Linked DNA regions of Diceros bicornis minor. The protein of the gene in region 1 interacts with the protein of each later gene in a pairwise test. Links are inferred from orthologs where the notes say so. Each region holds a gene or a part of one and is shown in the gene's direction. Other genes may lie near its edges.

Region 1 (7,158 bases):
TAGCAGTGGCCCTGCTGGGCGGCTCCAGGCCAGCACCGCCTGCCTCTGCACGGCGTTCCTTTGGCTTGAGACCAAGTCCAGCACCCTCGGCGCTCCCACCTCAAGGACTAGGCCTCAAGTTTCCGTTACAGCCATCGAGGCACTCGGCTCCCGGGGCTTCGTTCTCCTTGCTTCCTGCTCCACTTGGTTTCACTTATTATGGAAAGTTCCCAACATACAGAAATAGAGCAAGTGTGCCCAGCACATGTCCTGGCCTGGCCTCAACAGCAGTCACCGGGGCCGCCCGTCCCCTCTCCCCACCCAGACGTCACAGGTCACGCCTGCCACGGGCTGACTCAGTCTCCTGTGTGCATGGTCTTGGTTTTTGCTTTGTGCCCAGTACTTGGTTAACTAATTTCTAGTTTTCCTTGTGACTTCATCTGACTGATGGGTTATTTTGTCAGTGCCGTGGAGTGGATTCCGGCTCCTAGACCCCGTGGACAGCAGAGGGAAGCCTGCCCTGTCTTTCTGCGCCATCTCCTCCCCTTCTGCCACGTCAGACAATGCTCCGCTGCTATGCACAGGCTTTCCGATGTTTCTACGTGGGTGGCCAGGTCCTTCTTCCTAGTCTATCTAGTCGGGAAGCTCTGCTGACACCCGTCCACTGTGGTGACCTTGCTGGTAACGGGTTACTGAGATGTTTGTTATTTAACGTCCAAATATCAAGGGATCTTCCAGATATCTTTCTGTTACTGATTTGATTTTTTTTTTTTTTTTTTTTTTTTTTTGTGAGGAGATCAGCCCTGTGCTAACATCCGCCAATCCTCCTCTTTTTTTGCTGAGGAAGACGGCCCTGGGCTAACATCTGTGCCTATCTTCCTCCACTTTATATGGGACGCCGCCACAGCATGGCTTACCAAGCAGTGCGTCGGTGCGCGCCCGGGATCCGAACCAGCGAACCCCGGGCCGCCGCAGCGGAGCGCGCGCACTTAACCGCTTGCGCCACCGGGCCGGCCCCTGATTTGATTTTTTTTTTTTATAATTTTTATTTATTTATTTTTATTTCCCCCAAAGCCCCAGTAGATAGTTGTACGTCATAGTTGCACATCCTTCTAGTTGCTGTATGTGGGACACGGCCTCAGCATGGCCGGAGAAGTGGTGCCTCGGTGCGCGCCCGGGATCCGAACCCCGGGCTGCCAGCAGCAGAGCGCGCGCACTTAACCGCTAAGCCACGGGGCTGGCCCTCTGTTACTGATTTCTAGCTTAATTCTGATGTAATCTGAGAACACACGTTTTTATTTAATTCTTAAACACACGCCATGAGGAAGACACCTTGATCGGCCTTGTTTACCGAGCGGGGAAGTGTTGGGTCGTCGAGGGCCCAGCAGTGGCCGATCCATCACGTGAGAGCAGAGCTGCAGCCCGGGCCCCTCCCTGCTCGCCTAGCCCGGGGCATGAGCCCCCAGAACGCGTTCCCCCAGGGTCCTCCGGACTGCTCCCTGCTAGAGGGTGACATTGGGCCTCTGTCTTCTCGGAGCCTGCAGGAAGGCCAGGCCGCCTCCACGACTTACCCTGCCTGGTTGTGCCAGGACTCCTGAGGTTTCGGCCGACCAGGTGACCGCTGTGGGCCAGGGGCAGAGGAAAGCCCAGGGACTGAGGACCGAGCCCGACAGGAAGGGAGCCGGTTAGGCGAGAGGCAGCTGCCTCGGAAGGCGGAGCCAGGGCACGGGCAGGCCCTGCCCGCCCGTCCAGCTGCAGCTCCTTCCCGGAGCTGTTGCCTCATCCAGCAGGGCAGGTGGCAACTCGGCTCAACTGCTACGGCTACACCGGCGAGGCAGGGGCTGGGAGAGGCCACGTAGTCCACGGAGGACTGCTGCCATGACCATGGGCCGGAGCCTTGTCCTGCAGTCAACTGCCATTCTGACACCGGCTTGTGGGACTGCAGGCAGTGGCCTCGGAGTCCCGGGAGCCTGCTGTCACTGTCCCACGTGTCCTAGTGGAGAGGGCTGCAGAGTGGGGATGCTCCCAGGAAGGGAGGAGGATGTGCTAGCTGCAGTGGGCTGGCGGCCAAGTGAGGCAAATGTGGCCGGGGCCTGTGGCCTCTTGCAGGTGGCAGGGGCCTCCCCAGCCCCATGCCCTTTTTGGACACCACACTGCAGTCCTTAGGCGTCTGGGCCAAAGCAGACTGGATGGTGGATCAGCCACACCCAGCCCCTGGGTGGGCCTTCGCCCGCACTTCCACTGTGCAGGGTGCCGGGGCTGGGCCCCCAGGGCAGGCCCGGGACCTTGGCCGCCAGGCAGGCTGGGAGGGCTCCCAGCAGCTTTCCTCTGAGAGCAGACGACTTCCACTTCCCTCTGCCCCGCCTCCTGGGCCGCCCTGGCTGGGCGAATCAGAAGGCAGCCACCAGGGACTGTCCCCCTGCGGGAGGACCGGCTGGGCCTCTGTGGAGTTGCCCAGAACCATCAGGAAGTGCACAGGCGTCCCGCTGGGCTCCACCCTCCCTCAGGCCCCTGGCCGCCAGCAGCACCTCCTGTTGCTCATTGATCGGGGTGGCCCAGGCTGACCAGCGTCCAGCTGTGTGGGTGCCCCCTCGAGGACCCTGAGGTAGGCTGGTCTGGGGCCCTTTCTGAAAGGTGATTGGGAAGGTGCCGTGGCTCTCTGCTCAGGGCTGCTGGGGCAGGGAGCCGGGTCCTGGAGCAAATAGCCCAGAAGGGTACCCAGTGGCCTCAACTCTTCTGCCCTGTCCCTCTTCACGGCCACTGAGACCTGCTTGTTCATCTCAGTGGAATTAACAGCGGGGCATCAGACGTGGGACCCGTGGCTTTTAGGCTAGAAAGGCGGGAATGGGCCGAAAGTTCCCAGGACCGTCCACCGGGTTGCTGGTATCTTTATTCCACACCTTGTCTGTTGCTGGGCTGGATGGGAAGGCCAAGCTCTGTGGGAAGTGGGAGGACCTCCTCCAGAGACCAGGCCTTCTGTCACCCACATCTCTAGGATGTGGTCTAGCTCCTGTGGGCTAGAAACCAGAGTTTCCAACACAGCTGAAGGCTCTGTCTGAGGTGGCCGAGTCAGGGTCTCCGTCCCCACCACCCAGAGGAGGCACGACCACCTGGCTTGGCCCAGCCCCGGAGAGAGTGATTTCTCGCCTGCTGGTGGAAGGCAGCAGCAGTGGCTGGTCCCAATGTAGGTGGTCCCCTCGTCAGAAGGCCAGCGTGCCAGTCCCCCAGAGTGTGACCAAGAGCAGGCCTCATCTGAGAGGTGGGAGAGGAGCCAGAGACGGCTGGGTCCCAGGACCTGAGAGCCCGGAGGAGGCGCCCAAGCAGCATTCCAGGCTGGCCGTGGGCGACACAGCCAGGCCTTCCCCTAGTGCCCAGGCCCTGGCCCTCCTGTGGGCGGTCAGTCACCCTTCCCGAAAGGCACAGTGTCGCTGAGCCTGACTCGGAGCAGGCCAGCTCCAGGCAGCTGCTGGGAGGCTGTTGCACCACCAGCCGGCCACGGAAAGAGAGGAGGGGCTGGGGCGGGGACCTGAGCAGACGCTAAGTTGGGAAATGAGGAAGCCCCAGACAGCATGGTCCAGCATTGCGCAGGTGGGAGGTCACTTGCCTCGTGCCTCTCGCCCCAGCCTGGGCACTGGCCGGCCAGGGAGGTCGTGCCAGCGGGTGGCAGCAGCACAAATGGCTCCTCCTGCCCCACAGGTGGGAGGTGGCCATCCCTGCCAGCCCCACGACACTTGGGGGTCTCCCGGGGCGGGCAGAGGCCAGAGGAGAGCCATGGTGCAGGGGATGTTCCTGCCCCTGGAGCATCTCCACACCTTCCCCCGTACTCACCAGGGTGACTCGGGAGAGAGAAAGCCCAGGGTGGCCCAGGGGGCGGGAGCAGGGCCCAGGTGAGGCCGAGGGCCACCCAGTGAGCAGATGGGCAGCAGGGTCCCTGCGCAGCTGCTGCTTCCCTCTCTAGGTCGCCGAGATGGGAGGGCAGGGCCTGAGGCAGCACACCTCTCTCCCGAACACCCCTGGGCTGAGTTCCTGGCTGGGCTCCTCGGTGGCGGGCCTGGGGCCTAGCTCAGCTGACAGCTCAGCGAGTGGTGTCCCTCCCAGCCGCCCTCCCCGACTCTGGCCGACCCTGCCATGTCGGACTATGAGAACGAGGAGGAGTGCTGGAGCGCCCTGGAGGGCTTCCGGGTGAAGCTCATCTCCGTCATCGACCCCTCGCGCATCACGCCCTACCTGAGGCAGTGCAAGGTCCTGAACCCCGACGATGAGGAGCAGGTGCTCAGCGACCCCAACCTGGTCATCCGCAAGCGCAAAGTGGGTCAGTGCTGCCCCGCCCCCGAGCTGGCTAGGAGCCTGCCCAGAGGCCGCTGTGGGCTTTGTCCCCTACCCTTGTCCCCAGGAGGCCGAGCCCCATGCAGCCCCACGGAGTGCACCCCAACCCCAACTGCAAGCACGTGGACGAAACCCCCGGCACCCCTGCACCCGTCCTGTTTGCCGGGGGCCGTGGTGCTTCCATGCACTGCTGAGGCCTCTGGGAGAGCCAAGGGGTGGCGGGTGGCACTTGGACCCCGGCCTGCAGCGGCTGTCCACGTCCCAGACCCATTTGGCTGCGGCCAGACCTGGCGGGGGCCGCACAGCCTTGTCCCCCGGCCCAGAGCACCCATGCACGTCCCGGGACGCTGAGGCCCGGGCGCCAGCCAGGCCTCTCTGGGTGGCAGGCGTGCTCCTGGACATCCTGCAGCGGACCGGCCACAAGGGCTACGTGGCCTTCCTCGAGAGCCTGGAGCTCTACTACCCCCAGCTCTACAAGAAGGTCACGGGCAAGGAGCCCACCCGTGTCTTCTCCATGATCATCGGTGAGGAACGGGACACCGGGCATGGGGGTGGGGGACGTGGGGGGCACAGGGCCAGGATGGAGGGGTGGGGTCGGCATGGGGCAGAGCCAGACATGTTGGGAGGGCAGTGGCATGGGGACAGGGCAGCAGGCACCTCCCCATCGGGTCTCCCGACCGGGTAAATTGGGATCAAGGAAAGTGAGTGAGCTGCTCGTGGGCAGGGTGCCGGCGTGGGAGCGGGGCTGGTCATCGCTCCCGTCCCGCTCTCCTCTCCGAACACTCGCGGAGGGAGCAGCGGCCCAAGAAAAGGGGGACCAGACCTCTCGGGGAGCAGCAGGTCGGAGGCGTGTGCAGGTGCACAGGCTGACTCACAGATCGGAGCCCCTCCTGCCCAGAAAACCATCCCACCTGCAAAGCCCCTGTCCCTGCCCTGGGCCACAGACACTGCCCCTGAGAGGGCGGGGCCTGCCACTCCCAGGAATGGCGAAGCAATGCTCTCCTGGCCCCGGACTCGCGTCCTCTTGCCTCTCAATCAAGATGATAAGATCAGACAAAGGGAGACAGGTGCCTGGCCCTGGCTGTCCCCTGTCCTGGACGGGCATCGGGACAGGGGCCGGGGAGGTGAGTGAGCATCTCAGTCCATTTCCTCGACGAGAAGCAGCAGCCACTTGGACTTGACCCCTTGGCCGGGCTCCGCATTCCCTGGAGCCACGCGTTGCTGCTCCTCCAGTGCAGGGCCCTGGGAGGCGGTGGGGCAGGGTGGCCGTGGGGGACAGGCGACAGTCTGACGCTGGCCCCGTCTACAGACGCGTCCGGGGAGTCGGGCCTGACGCAGCTGCTGATGAGCGAGGTGATGAAGCTGCAGAAGAAGGTGCAGGACCTGACGGCGCTGCTGAGCTCCAAGGACGACTTCATCAAGGAGCTGCGGGTGAAGGACAGCCTGCTGCGCAAGCACCAGGAGCGCGTGCAGCGTCTCAAGGAGGAGTGTGAGGCCGGCGGCCGGGAGCTCAAGCGCTGCAAGGAGGAGAACTACGACCTGGCCCTGCGCCTGGCCCGCCAGAGCGAGGAGAAGGGCGCCGCGCTCATGCGCAACCGCGACCTGCAGCTGGAGGTGCCCTCCGGTCCACGGGGCGCGGGGGTGGGCCCGTGGCGGTGTCCTGGGCGAGTCGCGTGGCCCCGAGCCTCCGTCCTGCAGAGAGGGCCTGGCAGGCGTCGAGGGCCAGGCAGTGGGTGAGGCCGCCGCGCTGACGGGGTTGTCCCGCAGATCGACCGGCTCCGGCACAGCCTCATGAAGGCGGAGGACGACTGCAAGGTGGAGCGCAAGCACACGCTGAAGCTCAGGCACGCCATGGAGCAGCGGCCCAGCCAGGAGCTGCTGTGGGAGCTGCAGCAGGAGAAGGCCCTGCTGCAGGCCCGGGTGCAGGAGCTGGAGGCCTCCGTCCAGGTGGGGCCTGCGGGGCGGGCGCCGGGGCAGGTGGGCCGTGGGCCTCCCCCAGCAAGGTCGCTGCCCTGCTGCCCTCTCCCCTTCGCCACCCGCAGGCTGGGAAGCCAGAGAAGAGCAGCCCCTACATCCAGGTGCTGGAGGAGGACTGGAGGCAGGCGCTGCAGGACCACCAGGAGCAGGCCAGCACCATCTTCTCCCTGCGCAAGGACCTGCGCCAGGCCGAGGCCCTGCGCACCCGGGTACGCAGCGGGGGCAGGTGGACACCGCGCCTGGGGCCAGGCTGGCTGCGTGGGCTGAGGGACTGCCCTGTGCCCACGCAGTGCCTGGAACCGGGGGGCTCTCAGCTCTCAGCTCAGTCCCTACTGCACCCCGTTCTGGAGGCGTAGGGCCGGCCTTCTCACCCACTCCTGCCCTCACTCCCCCAGGGCAGTCAGGGCCAGCCTTGGTCTGGAAGCTCAGGGCTGGCAGGGACCTAGGGGCTCAGGCAGCCTCCCCCTCGTCCCAGCCGGGCCTGACCGGGGGCCAGAACAGGGGCCACGGGCGGTGGGGCTAGCTAGCTGCCGTCTCCCGCAGTGCATGGAGGAGAAGGAGATGTTCGAGCTGCAGTGCCAGGCCCTGCGGAAGGACTCCAAGATGTACAAGGACCGCATCGAGGCCATCCTGCAGCAGATGGAGGAGGTCGCCATCGAGCGGGACCAGGTAGGCGCCTCGCCGCCCGCCCGCCGGCAAAGAACAGCCTGCACTGGGTGAGGGAGTAGGAGGGGCGGTCCCCACGTTTGTGTGGGCTGCCAACGAGCCCTTTAGGGGCCGTTGTCAAAGTGGTCTTTGAATGACAGAAGCAGTACGTGCTCATTTAGAAATGTGAGCAGTAATGAAGTTGATCCCCAACCCACCTCCACCCCAGCC
Region 2 (7,037 bases), on another chromosome or scaffold:
TTAACAAGCCCTCCAGGTAATTCTAATACAAGCTAAAGTTTGAGAACCACTGATCTTATCCAATTCCCTCACCGTAGAGGTGACTAGCTTAAAGGCACAAGGTTTCTTAGAAGTGGCCATGCCTAAAACCTAGGCTTCCAATGCATTTATGACTTACCACACACTGTGCCACCACAGGTGCTAATCCTTACCTCTGGGACAATAAAGCATAAACTGAATTCCTATTTCATAATACCACCACCTCAATTATCCTATCTCCCTTTCCCTACCATCATTTTCTGTTCCCCTAGTTCCATCAACCTTTTTGTCATGTGGTAGGGTTTTATCTTGTCTTGCATAAAATTTGTCACTTTAAATGAAGTACAACACTCCTGGTAGGCAATCGAAGCCAAAGGAGTTAGATGCCTAATTCCCTAAACTGATTCTATTATTTTAAACAGAACTAATAAGTGTTTCTCGTGTATCTTCTCTACTCCATCATTTGTCTCCTTTTTGTATTTAATGGAAATATTATTCAGCACATCAATGCAATCAATTAATGATGATTTTCCTACCCTGACATCAAGGGTCACTCAAATGCCATATGTCCCACAGGCCAACTTCTGGTATATTGTGCATAAATACGTAAAGGTAAGCAAGATACCATAAAGTATGCGTAAACTCAAAAATATATGCAATAAACCAAGAGGAAGAAAAAGGGAAGCAGAGTGAAAATTAAGTTAATCCTTTCCTTGACAAATCAAAACCAAGAGCAAAATTAACTCAACAAAGTTATCTGTTAAACATTTAAAAAATTTTTCAATTAAACATAAATTAGATAAAACAATCTGCTTGAGCTAGAGAGACCTCTGATAACCTTCACTTACCAGAACTTCAAATTTTAAACTAAGAAAAATTTGAATAAGCTGGTATTTAAATTCTTACCAGGCCTGGTGTGGTATCTTCATCACTGTCTCCATCCTGACTGCTTTCCATATCAACACTGAGAATCACTGTATCTGAAGTGCTCTTGTGTCCTTGCTTGTTACTTTCAGTATGAACATCTAAGGATGATTTTTGCAGAGTGGATTCTGCCTTGGAAGATGTGGCTTCCATCTTTGGAGTTAAAATTCTTCTGCAAGTTTTCTTTATTTCAATCTTCTTACATTTCTTACACGCCACTTCATTGTTAGAATTCTTATCTAAGAGGGATTTGGGGCACTTAAGTTGGTCTGGTTTGTAATTACTGAGTGAAAAGGGGACAAGACACACCTTAGCTGTTTTTCCTAAAACTGTAGTCTGTACTGGCCTTGGAGATACAAAATCAATGTTTTGGTTTTCTTTATATTCATTCACCTGTTCAGGTCAATAAAGGAAAATGGAGAGTGTTAGAATCCCAGATCCTATGTCTTTTCTTACAGATCTGTGTAAATAAATCTCATTCCTATTTCATAATAACAACATAAATCCAAACTGATAGCCTGTAAGGAAACTTTTTTCCTCCAAAACCTAGATACTTAATTCATTAACCTGAATAGAATTATTTATTATACTGGGCACATTTCTTGCCCATATGAGTCTGCCAGACCAATAATAATAATGACTACAATTTGTATCTAAGGTGACTCTACCCCAACTGTCAGCTTCTGAGTAAATGGAATTGTTTCAAGAGTAGGAAGCTGACACTAACTGCTGCAAAAGCAAATGCAGAGTCCCTGATCCCATCCTGCCACTATTTCTGGGGTTACTGACAAGAACCTTCCTCAATGCCGCAGCCTACTCTCACAGAGGAAACCAGGGCAGGGATCCCCGCTTATCTTTTGAAGCAACACCCCGAAAAACTCTTTAAGCTGAGGGATGCCCCAAGCGGCGGGAAATCGTTTTGGAGTGAGGAGGTGCCGGGTGCCAAGTCCTGGTGCCCTCCCGGGCCTGTGCCCGGAAGATCCCTCTCGAAGACTGAGTCAGGAGCACACCCGAAAGCGACAAGCCCTTTCTCACCTTCACCTGGAGTCGCTGTCTGGAGCCAGCCTTCTCAGCCACCGCGCGCGACCCGGACATCTTTCCGCCGCTTAACAGCTGGCGTCTTCCCGCCAAGATTGCGGCGGGAGGCGGGGGTGGGAGGGAGTGGGAGGGGCGGAGCCCGGGCGGCGCCGGCGGGCGCTCAGATCCCAGCTGGCCGGGGGGGAGGGGCGACACGGGCGTTACCGTCGTCCCTTAAGGAGCCAAGCCTACCAGCCTCACCCCCAACTCAAATTCTTGAGGGACGCGATGGGACCGAATCGACATTTTTACCTTGGATGCCGGTGATTTTGATGTTGCTGACGCCAGTATCTCACTTTGAAAAACACTGGCGCTTCTGCTGAGGATAAGCCACCTTGCCTTACAACGTGAGGCTGGAAAAGATTCAGACGCACTTAGATGCCGGATAGAGAGCAAAGGAAATCGCAATCAACATGCAGCCCTTACCTCGGCCCCCTGGTTCCTTATACCACCACCAGGAAATTAGGCCCCATGGCTACCACATTATCTTATTCCTAGGAAGGGAAGTTTTTTTTAGTTTTTTTTCAAGAGCTGATAACTTAAGCTAGTTTAAATTTCACCTGATCATCTGTCCACCAGTTAACTAAGATCCTAATGAGGACCTTACAAAGCCCAAAGGCTAGGGAAAAGTTGTGAATCAAATAATTTTTGTATCACAAAGTAACATAAGATTTTAGTGCACTGTATTTCTTATAGTCGCAGCGATATTAAATTTTTTTTTCTATTCTCTGGGTTGCTGTGAGCCAAAACAATTGCCTTCCCATCACACTCCCTCTGGACAGCATAGTTTTGGAGCTGATAAATTCATAATATAAATTTCTATCTACTTTATTTTTAAGGTCCTTTTCTTTCTAGCCCAAAACTGCTCCCTTGGTTGGTTATCTGAGTCCTCCACTGTTCCTTTTATTTCTTCTGCCAGCCTAGGCTCAAGTTGAGAACACAAGTGAAATAATTTGAGAACTAATCCTATTAACAGCACCTTCAAGGCCCTACTTGATCTGGTACCTGCCAAACTTTCACCACTCCTTGACTCAAAAATTACTGATAAAATCACACTTTTCATGGTGTCTGATATATACGCTATTTCTGGACTTCAAGACTTTGCTCATGCTGTCCCTTCCCTCCCAACCATAGCAGTTTTAAAATCCCTTCTACAGTGAAATGTGTTCTGACTTCTAATTAGCCAATTTTTTTTATATAACCGAGCTAGTAATTGCGATTGCTTCTATTATGATTCTATAAGCCCTTGAAGACTTCCTAAATTAAATTAAAGCTTCTTGAGGATACGAGCCTTTTAACAATATTCGTTACTGCTTACAGAGAGCTAAGCACAGTTAACACAGCAAGTACTTAATAATTACTCAAAGACTTATATACAAACACTTCCCAGCCAGGAATATATTTTAAAAGGTGGTCTCCAGAAGCGGAAAGAACCAGAAAGCCTAAAAGTAGAATGTTCGGATTTCAGGCGTTGACTCAGGCCCCCTGGGGGATTTTTTTTCTTTCTTTCTTTCTTTCTTTCTTTTTTGCCACTGGCCTAAATCACCGCGACCTGCCCTCGCGTGACCAAAAAGTACCGCACCAAAACCCACTCAGCCTCATCAGCTAAATTAATCAGACACTATTAGCAGGATTTCTATTCCGATTAAACTCTAATTCTGAGCTTTCTACAGTCTGGACAAACTGCCCTTCACTATCTCCTCAGTGTCTTATTCATCACTATCCCATTTTCCTCGGCTTCAAACCAAGCTAACAAGCGAAACCTTTCATTCGGACCTTCCTCGCCGCAGGGTCTTAACCGCAAAGCCCAACCGAAGCAATTTCCCGCCACAACCGACGTCCAAATATGTACTTCCAGACTGAGGACGCTAGGGCAGCCTATGAACATGCGCAGTAACAGACTCGGTGTTCTAGCGGTAGTCGCCCAGAGGTCCTCCACAATCCCACAATCCTCTGGTCGCATATTTCCGGTTTTTCTAGCCCAGCCGTAAGTGGCGTTTCTATCAGTCCCGCAGCCGTGTCTAGCGGCTCTAGGCTGGGAGGTGTTTTCTGTTCGTTGACGTTGAAGCTGTTCGCTGTTTGGAATCAGTAAAGTTTCGGGAGTCACCGCTGCTGTCGTCAACATGTCGGTCCCAAGCGCACTCATGAAACAACCGCCCATTCAGTCTACGGCTGGGGCCGTCCCGGTTCGCAATGAGAAAGGTACTGTGCTGAGCCGTTTTCCAGTCGGGTCTTGCCTCTTCCTTCCTCAGCGTACTCCAAACCTACCCCGGGCCGACCACCCCAACCCCACCGACCCTTAAGACCCTGCCCCCTATTTCTTCGACTTTCCCCGTCACACTCGCACCCGATCACGTTGCCTAGGGTAAAGAAAACCCACTTCCATCTCATCTTGTTCCTATAGCCTGTCTGCCCTCACCTACAGCAAGCACCTATCTTCCCTTGGCCTCCACCAATTCGTTAGACTAACATATATAGTGAATGCCTGTTGTTTGCAGGGATTTGTGCGGGATACAGTCCCTCTTTTTTTTTATCCATAGCAGTCTGTTTATGCTGCTTTTATAACTCATCGTTATAATTATTTATGTATCTGTCTCTCGTACATCATAAGCTCATAACCTCCTTGAGGCAGGAACTATGTCTTATTAAACTTTTTATCCCTGTCAGCCAAGGCAGTGACTGTATTTATTAAATTGAATACAAAGTTGTGTAGGACAGTCCCCCTAACCTTAAGGAACTCGTATTCTAATAGATGTGAGACATGCAAAAAGAGGCACATTCTAAACAGTGTACAGTCTTTCACACCTGTAATACCTGTCACTAGGTGATATAAACCAAATACTGTGGGAGGGCAGAGGAGGAATAATCTCTTCAGATTGGGGTAATCAAGGAAAGCTTGAAAGAAAGGTGGCATTTAAGTTGATCCTTAAAGGACAGATAGGATTCCAATGAGTGCAGATGGAAGAAGGAACACCGTTTCTGTTTGAGGAGTCAGAATAAAGAGTCAGGATTTTTTCATTAAGGGTTTTGGAAAATAATAACAGTTCTTACTTTTGTGTTTTTTGAATATACTGAACCCATCCTTGTGCAGCTTGCCTTTTTTTTTTCTTTTAACTCAGCATGGCGTTTGAGAAGTATCCTTTGGATACATATGGATCCAGTTCATTCAGTTTAATTGCTTATAAATTCCATTGTATAATTAAACCACAGTTTATTCCCTACTGAGGGACAGTTGTGTTGTTTTTTCTCCTATTACAAACATGCTGCAATTGTCATTCTTAAATGTGTCTCTTTAGTGCACTTGTATAAGAATTTCTCTAGGGTAGACTCCTAGAAGTTCATCTTCAATTTGTTGCCAGTTGCTCTCCACAGTGGATTGTAAGAGCATTAGGAGTTTTTATTTCTCCATGTGTTTATCCACACCCTTGGTTATATCAGATTTTTTAATTTTTGCCCAGTCTAATGAGTGTGTAACGATATCTCATTATTTTAATTTACATTTCCCTGATTTCTAGTGGGACTAGGCATCTTGTTCGTGCGTTTATCCACTCTCTGGGTTTTCTCTTCTATGAATTACCTGTTTCTGTCATTTACCTGTTTTCTATTTGTTTCGTTTTTTTTTTTTTTTTTTTTTTTTTTTTTTTGTGAGGAGATCAGCCCTGAGCTAACATCCGCCAATTCTCCTCTTTTTTTTTGCTGAGGAAGACGGCCCTGGGCTAACATCTGTGCCTATCTTCCTCCACTTTATATGGGACGCCGCCACAGCATGGCTTACCAAGCAGTGCGTCGGTGCGCGCCCGGGATCCGAACCAGCGAACCCCGGGCCGCCGCAGCGGAGCGCGCGCACTTAACCGCTTGCGCCACCGGGCCGGCCCCTTTGTTTCGTTTTTATACATCCTAAATCTGTAATATCTATTTCCCCAGGTTTTTTGGCTTGTTTTTTAACTTTAGTTATGGAGTCTTCTGTTACACAGGCATTTTTAGTTTAGTGTTATCACATTTATCAATTTTATCTTTTATGGTGTGTGCTGTTTTGTATACTGTTTAAGAAGTCCTTCCCTACACTGAGATCATAGACATTCAGTTTTCTATCGTCTGAATGTTTGTATATACTAAGTAGGATTGAATACACAATTGTGCAAGACAGACTAAGTTAAGGAGCTTACAGTCCAGTAGGGATGTAAATGTTTAAGATAGGTTTTTCACACTTCAGCCTTTAATCTATCTGGAATTTTTTGTGTGTATGGTGTCAGTTAGAGATCTAATTTTACCTTATTATCTTAGAGTTAGCCAGTTGTTCCTACTACTCCATTGTTTGACTAGCCTATCCATTCTCCATTGCTTTTTTTTTTTTTAAGATTTTATTTATTTCTTTATTTTCCCCCCAAAGCCCCAGTAGATAGTTGTATGTCGTAGCTGCACATCCTTCTAGTTGCTGTATGTGGGACGCGGCCTCAGCATGGCCAGAGAAGCGGTGTGTCGCTGCGCACCCGGGATCCGAACCCGGGCCGCCAGCAGCGGAGCGTGCGCACTTAACCGCTAAGCCACCAGGCCGGCCCTCCATTGCTTTTTAATGTCACTTCTGTAATATAGCAAGTTCTCATATAGGTTGTTTCTCTGGTCTCTACTTTGTTCCATTGGTCTCTATGTACCCCGAGTCAATGACATATTGTTTTAATTCCTGTGAATTTAAATAAGCCTTGCAATCTGATACAAAAACCCTCCCCCCCACCTCACATTCTTATTCTTTTTTTTGTTACAACTTTATTTTTTTAGAGCAGTTTTAGGTTCACAGCAAAATCGAAGGGAAGGTACAGAGATTTCCCATATACTCCCTACCCCCATACATGCATAGCCTCCCCTATTATCAACATCCCCCACCAGAGTGATACATTTGTTACAATTAATGAACCTACATTAACACATCATAATCACCCAAAGTCCATAGATTACATTAAGAATCACTCTTGGTGGTGTACATTCTGTGGGTTTGGACAAATATATAATGACATATATCT

The links. The genes of interacting proteins can lie anywhere in the genome.
Region 2: the proteins of CARD9 (region 1) and MFAP1 interact in binary tests that used the Homo sapiens proteins (3 or more experiments, as listed by UniProt). The two-hybrid records come from large-scale screens. The link is inferred for Diceros bicornis minor from reciprocal best matches to the Homo sapiens genes CARD9 and MFAP1.

Annotation. Positions count from the first base shown.
Region 1 is NC_080767.1:42,451,586-42,458,743, forward strand, and holds the start of CARD9 (caspase recruitment domain-containing protein 9), read left to right. Parts: upstream 1-4,237; coding exon 4,238-4,829; intron 4,830-4,933; exon of another isoform or gene 4,934-5,299; coding exon of another isoform or gene 5,300-5,429; intron 5,430-5,614; coding exon 5,615-5,919; intron 5,920-6,072; coding exon 6,073-6,252; intron 6,253-6,347; coding exon 6,348-6,491; intron 6,492-6,825; coding exon 6,826-6,951; intron 6,952-7,158. UniProt on the Homo sapiens protein: Adapter protein that plays a key role in innate immune response against fungi by forming signaling complexes downstream of C-type lectin receptors.
Region 2 is NC_080744.1:41,112,228-41,119,264, reverse strand, and holds the start of MFAP1 (microfibrillar-associated protein 1), read left to right. Parts: upstream 1-4,022; 5' UTR 4,023-4,142; coding exon 4,143-4,221; intron 4,222-7,037. Other genes in the region: WDR76 (WD repeat-containing protein 76), read right to left, coding at 925-1,335, 1,978-2,037. UniProt on the Homo sapiens protein: Involved in pre-mRNA splicing as a component of the spliceosome.